Oryctolagus cuniculus: one gene and its partner. The protein of the gene in region 1 interacts with the protein of each later gene in a biochemical or structural test. Links are inferred from orthologs where the notes say so. Each region holds a gene or a part of one and is shown on either strand. Other genes may lie near its edges.

The links. The genes of interacting proteins can lie anywhere in the genome.
Region 2: of the proteins of RNF8 (region 1) and histone H2B type 1-B, one has a biochemical effect on the other in vitro, tested with the Homo sapiens proteins (2 studies listed by BioGRID). The link is inferred for Oryctolagus cuniculus from reciprocal best matches to the Homo sapiens genes RNF8 and H2BC3.

The regions. Positions count from the first base shown.
Region 1 is NC_091436.1:132,286,898-132,290,918, forward strand, and holds the start of RNF8 (E3 ubiquitin-protein ligase RNF8), read right to left. Parts: upstream 2,801-4,021; 5' UTR 2,664-2,800; coding exon 2,559-2,663; intron 1-2,558. UniProt on the Homo sapiens protein: E3 ubiquitin-protein ligase that plays a key role in DNA damage signaling via 2 distinct roles: by mediating the 'Lys-63'-linked ubiquitination of histones H2A and H2AX and promoting the recruitment of DNA repair proteins at double-strand breaks (DSBs) sites, and by catalyzing 'Lys-48'-linked ubiquitination to remove target proteins from DNA damage sites.
Region 2 is NC_091436.1:153,352,444-153,355,127, reverse strand, and holds histone H2B type 1-B, read left to right. Parts: upstream 1-1,419; 5' UTR 1,420-1,747; coding exon 1,748-2,128; 3' UTR 2,129-2,184; downstream 2,185-2,684. Other genes in the region: histone H3.1, read right to left, coding at 1-397; histone H2A type 1-B, read right to left, coding at 1,027-1,419. UniProt on the Homo sapiens protein: Core component of nucleosome. Nucleosomes wrap and compact DNA into chromatin, limiting DNA accessibility to the cellular machineries which require DNA as a template.

The DNA.
Region 1 (4,021 bases):
ACTATTCTACAGTTAGGTGTGAAAGAGCAATGAATGTGCAAGGTCTTGATGCAGTTATGTGTGGACAGGTATCTGGCCCAGGGTTTAAACATTGCTTGGGATGCCCACATCCCATATCAGATGGCCTGGGTTTCTGTCCTGCCTGGCTCCAGTTTTGTTTTAAGATTTATTTATTTGAAAGACAGTTACAGAGAGGCAAAGGCAGAGAGAGAGAGAGGTCTTCACCTCCTGGCTCACTCCCCAGATGGCCACCACGGCTGGAGTTGGGCCGATCTGAAGCCAGGAGCTTCTTCTGGGTCTCTCACAGGGGTAGAGGGACCCAAGGACTTGGGCCATCTTCTGCTATCTCAGGCCATAGCAGAGAGCTGGATCGGAAGTAGAGCAGCCAGGACTCAAACTGGCACCCATATGGGATGCCGGAAACTCCAGGTGGCAGCTTTACCAGCTCCGCCAGTGCTGGCCTCTGACTCCACTTCTGATTCCAGCTTCCTGCCAGTGAATACCCTGGAAGGCAGCAGGTGATGACTCCAGTACGTAGGAGCTTGCCACCTACACAGGAGTACTGAACTGAGTTCCAGCCTCTGGTCTTGGTGCGGCCCAGCTCTGGCTGTTGCTGACATTTGGGGAGTGAACCAGTAGATGGAAGATCTGTCTGTCTCTCTCTGCCCTTCAAATAAAAAACAAATTGAATAGGTATAGGAAATAAATTCTATGTGTACACAAAAACAAGTGACCGTGTAAGTTAATTTTGTGTATAACTACATTACTCAGGTGCTAGTGTCTTACTCGGTTAAGTTTCTCAAAGGTATATGCCTTCGGAAAGGGCCATGCAGAGAAAGGGCAGCAGGGCTCAGGCTACAGGAATGAATGCCTCATGTGACTCCCAGAACTAACACCTGGACAGCAGAGACACTTGGAGGCAGAGAGGTCTTGCTGATGTTAACCAAAGCACAGCATACAAAGTCACCCTCTGCTACCCCCTCCTCTGGCAACATTTAAGGCCGGACTGAATCCCTGCAGGACTGGAAGGATCACCCCTCTAGCACAGAGCAAATAATCCAGCACTCCATCACACAGCCCCCAGGTTGTTCTGACTGCTGTCCTGTGCCAATCCCCTTTCCCCACAAGCCAGAACAATTTTTTTAAAAAGATTTATTTATTTTATTTGAAAGGCAGAGTTACAGACTGAGAGAGGGAGAAAGAAGAGAATATCTCCCATTGGTGGTTCACTCCCCAAATGGCCACAATTGCTGGGGCTGTGGCTGGGCCAGATATAAGCCAGGAGCCCAGAACTCCATCTGGGTCTCCCATGTGGGTGGCTAAGGCCCCAGCACTTTGGCCAGGCACATTAGCAGGGAGCTGGATGGCAATGACGCAGGCGGGACTCAAACAGGGGGCTTGTATGGCGGCAGGTCCTGGCTTAACGGCCTGCGCCACAATGCCCGGCCTGAGTTCTTTGAGGGCACAAGTTGGCATCTGTTCCTCTCAGCGTTCAACAAACACTTGGAAGACTAAATTAAGACTATCTAGCTTACAAAAAAAAAAAAAAAAAAAAAACCACTAATTAAACATACCTAATAATCGAAGTGTCTTTAAGGCATAATAACCTATCACCAGTATTACTGCCAAGTGAACCTTTCATACGTATTATCTCCAAAGTCCAGGGGGCCCCAGTCACCCCGGTTCTCCTTCCCAAACTGACAGCAATCGAACTCTAGCGATTCCCTCGGCCTGGCTAGGCCCATTACCCAGAGCTAGCGGCCGCCAGCAGGAATCGTGCCTTGCCTTTCCTCAAAAAAAAAAAAATTTTTTTTTTTAATTTGACGCTGATGCCTTTATTAACAAACACCAGCCACCTCCGGGGAGAATTCTGAATCCCTACCCCTGTCCCACCTCAGGGGGATGCCACTCGGCGGCACCCAGAGTCACGGGATAAACGGGATCCATCTCCAAACGCCAACACCCCCCCCCCCCCCAATAAAAAAGTTGAAAAGAAGGAAGACGGTTCTCCATCAAAGTCTGAGTATTTTAAGGGGCACAATCCCAAACTCGGGATCATCTTCGAAAGAAACTCGACAAAGTCGGCGCCCTTGCCCTGCGTCCGCCCCAGCCCCGCGACAGTTCCTCCGTGAGACCCCGGCCCCGGCCTTCTCCTCAGCCGCCGCACGCCCCCTCCCGCTGGGCCCCTCCGCACGGCGGCTGCCCGCTCGCCGGCCTCCAGCTCAGCCCGCCCCCGGGCCCAGGCCTCTCGGAGCGGCACCTGCTGGCTCGGCTGCCCTCGGCCCCGGAGGGCCCGTCTCGTAACTCCGCGGGTCTCCCCTCGAGCCCACCCCGACTTTCTTCCCGTCCCCTACTCGATCCCTAGTTCGCCCCGGTCCTTCCCACTTCGGACTCCTCAACCATCGGCACCAGAACCCCTTTCTCCCTTCTCCCTCCCAGGACCCACCCGTCACGCCTCGCTCCCCTCCCGGCCCCCAGCTCCCTTCCCCACCCCCGCACCCGGCCCCCCGGCTTCCTTCAACCCCTTCCTCCGCTTCAACGGGACCCCTCCCCCTCACCTCGCGCCCGTCCTCTAGCAGCAGCCACTCGACGTTCATCCCCACCCGCCGCAAGCACCAGCTCTGGCACCGCAAGCCCGTCGCCAAGGAGCCGGGCTTCTCCATAGCCCACTAGGCCCCGCTCGGCGCTCAGCACTGAGCGAGACCCCGACTCGCGTTCCAGCAGCCTCTGTGTGGCCCGGCGCGCGCCATAGCTAAACGACAGACAGAAGCAATCGCCGAGCGACCGCGATCGATGCTGCGAGATCGGGCTGCGAGCCCCGCCTGATCCGGTAGGAAGAGGGAGCGTTGCGCCTGCGCAACAGGAAGGCTTGGCAGGGTGGGGCGCGGACGCCCGACCCCTGCGTGGGCGGAGGCGCAGGTGTGGTGGGCGTGGCCAGAGCCTGTAACTGACCTGGCCCACCGTCCAGGTTCTACCATCCCCAGACTAGAGTTTCACTTCAATTTTCGTCTTAGAAAATTTGTTTTCGCATTATGAACGCGTGATAACGATGATGGCCGCCTTTATTTAAAACTAGCCCACTTTTGAACTGTAGGGTTGCGATAATTTTTAAGCCTGTTTGTACCTAAAAAGCATCTATCTTGAGAATCTCCTTTCATTGCCGGATTTTAATTTTATGTATTTGAAAGGCAGAGAGAGACGACAAACACAAAGCTCCCCTGTGCTGATTCACTTCCCCGATTCTGGCAAAGCTGGAACCAGGAGACAAGAACTCAGCGGGAGTCTCCCACATGGGTGGCAGGGACCTAATCACTAGAGCCATCACCTGCTGCCTCCCAGGTGCCCGTTAGCGGGAGGCTGGAGTGGAGAGCACTGCCAGGGCTGAACTCAGAGTCCGCTACGGGATCAGGGTCCCGGGTGGCATCTTGACTGTTACACCAAATGCTCACCTCTGATTACCAAACTTTTAAAAAATTATACTGGGCAAAACTATATAAACACAAAGCAGCTTACTTGGGGCTGAGGTGGGAGCAGGACTGAATGCAGATGGGCTTAGAGGAATTTGGGGAGGTGATTAAAATGTTCTGAAAGTACACACGTGTACGGATTTATGGATATGTCACTGAAATACACACTGCCAATGGGTGAGCTTGATGGTATGTAAATTATTCTCAAGTCTTCTTATGTTAAATTAAGGGAAGTATATATATATGAATCATGCACAGTACAACAGTAAATTATTAGTGTTTACTAAGAGGTAAGTGGGAGGCTGGTGCTGTGGTGTAGGGGATAAAGCCACTGCCTGAAGCGCTGGCATCCCATCTGGGCACTGGTTTGAGTCCTGGCTGCTCCACTTCCGATCCAGCTCTCTGCTGTGCCCTGGGAAAGCAGTAGAAGATGGCCCAAGTCCTTGGGCCTCTGCACCCATGTGGGAGACCCAGAAGAATAGCCTGGCTCCTGGCTTTGGATCAGCGCAGCTCTGACTGTTGCGGCCAACTGGGGAGTGAACCATCGGATGGAA
Region 2 (2,684 bases), about 21 Mb from region 1:
CGCGGATGCGGCGCGCCAGCTGGATGTCTTTGGGCATGATGGTGACGCGCTTGGCGTGGATGGCGCAGAGGTTGGTGTCCTCGAAGAGGCCGACGAGGTAGGCCTCGCAGGCCTCCTGCAGCGCCATGACGGCCGAGCTCTGGAAGCGCAGGTCCGTCTTGAAGTCCTGCGCGATCTCGCGCACCAGGCGCTGGAAGGGCAGCTTGCGGATGAGCAGCTCGGTGGACTTCTGGTAGCGCCGGATCTCGCGCAGCGCCACCGTGCCGGGCCGGTAGCGGTGCGGCTTCTTGACGCCGCCCGTGGCCGGCGCGCTCTTGCGGGCCGCCTTGGTGGCCAGCTGCTTGCGCGGCGCCTTGCCGCCTGTTGACTTGCGCGCTGTCTGCTTAGTACGAGCCATCTCGCGCCGGTGGGACTCAAACTTCTTGTCTGCGGCGACAGAGCTGCCTTTAAATATCGTTAGGACTACTGTGATTGGCTTCCGGATTTTCAAAAAATCCGCGCGACAAACTCATTGGCTAAAGGAGGAACTTCGATGATTGGTCCACTCAGACAACCTGATTGGCCGGATTCATCCACTGTCCGTTTGGGATGGTAGACGTTTTCTAACATCTGGATCATTCCATCTCAGAAGCGTACCTAACCGTGGAGGGAGATTACCTCAGTAACAGGCCCTAGCGTGGACCCCGAAATCCCTAATTACCTGGGCCTGCCGTCTAATAGCGCCCGATAAACACTGAGCCACGGAAAGGTGCCCTGACTTAAGGCAAAACGCGTTTTACGTTTGAAACAGCTGCACCTCGGGGGCTATTTCCCGACTGACACACCCCCCGTCACTGTGTGGCCTTTCATCCGTCACAATAAATACACGTTTCACTTGTTTCCACAGTTTTCTTAAGCGCTAACGCTATCACCATGGGAAGGACTAATTCCAGTCAGGGTTAGCAGCTTTTTTGTGAAACAGTGGATGGCCCTGAAAAGAGCCTTTGGGTATTTCAAAGCGAGAGTTGCGTCGTCTTTACTGTGGTTTCACTTGCCCTTGGCCTTGTGGTGGCTCTCGGTCTTCTTGGGCAGCAGCACGGCCTGGATGTTGGGCAGCACGCCGCCCTGCGCGATGGTGACGCGGCCCAGCAGCTTGTTGAGCTCCTCGTCGTTGCGGATGGCCAGCTGCAGGTGGCGCGGGATGATGCGCGTCTTCTTGTTGTCGCGCGCCGCGTTGCCCGCCAGCTCCAGGATCTCGGCCGTCAGGTACTCGAGCACGGCCGCCAGGTACACTGGGGCGCCGGCGCCCACGCGTTCCGAGTAGTTGCCCTTGCGCAGCAGGCGGTGCACGCGACCCACGGGGAACTGGAGCCCGGCCCGGGAGGAGCGGGTCTTGGCCTTGGCGCGCGCCTTGCCGCCTTGCTTGCCACGCCCAGACATGGTACAGCCAAACACGCTTCGCAATCTGAAGTAAAGAAAACCATACCCGCCAAGACTGTGCTTTTATAAGCAGCGCAGGGCTACTACAGTACGTCATCCTATTGGTCGAAATAGGTTCGCCTTTTCTGCCCAATAGGAAAAGACAACCCGGATACCTTATTTGCATAAACAACCCCCCTAGAGAAAATTTCTTTGTTGTCCAATCAGAAGTGAGAAGTCTCAAACCCTCATTTGAATTACGGGACTATAAATATATGCACTCCGGCCTGTCATCACTAATCAGCTGTAGACTGAGTCTGTTTTAGTCTCTCAGCCAATATTAAAAGCAATGCCTGAACCCTCCAAATCCGCTCCCGCCCCCAAAAAGGGCTCCAAGAAGGCGATAACAAAGGCGCAGAAGAAGGATGGCAAGAAGCGCAAGCGCAGTCGCAAGGAGAGTTACTCCATCTACGTGTACAAGGTGCTCAAGCAGGTGCACCCCGACACCGGCATCTCGTCCAAGGCCATGGGCATCATGAACTCGTTCGTCAACGACATCTTCGAGCGCATCGCCGGCGAGGCCTCGCGCCTGGCGCACTACAACAAGCGCTCGACCATCACGTCGCGCGAGATCCAGACGGCCGTGCGCCTGCTGCTGCCTGGTGAGCTGGCCAAGCACGCCGTGTCCGAGGGCACCAAGGCTGTCACCAAGTACACCAGCTCCAAGTGAGCTCCCGAATTGGCGCCGCCGCCCCTCACCCCAAAGGCTCTTTTCAGAGCCACCAACTCTTTCACAAATAGAGCTGTGGCCGACGTCCTTGTATTTTGCTCCTGTTGAGGTGGGTTTAGGTCGGGTGTTAGGGCTGGCGTTAGTGACGACCCCAGAACGCGTGTTTATCCCGTGCAGGTCGGCGCTGAGTAACCTTAGGGCACTTTGGTCGGGGTCGGGGACTGGGGTTCGCGATGTGATGGGAGATGCGCATTTCGTGAACTCGGGTTCGCATGAGCTTTGAAGAGCCCCCTCTAACATCTCCAGCTCCTCGACAGTGAAATGGAGTGAAATTCCTGCAGTTCTCCCTGTTACCTACCTGTAGCCACTAATCACGTCGGCTAAGCAGTCCTTGAGTCTTCAGAAATCCATGGATCACCTATTGGATGGGGCGGATTTTTCTCAAGAATGGAGCCTTGATACTGGCTGGAGTCAGGATGCGATCTGAATCCCGCGCCTTTCCTGGTTCGCGGCCAGCCACTGGCTGAGGGGAGGGGCCAGGGCGCGTCGGGGCGGA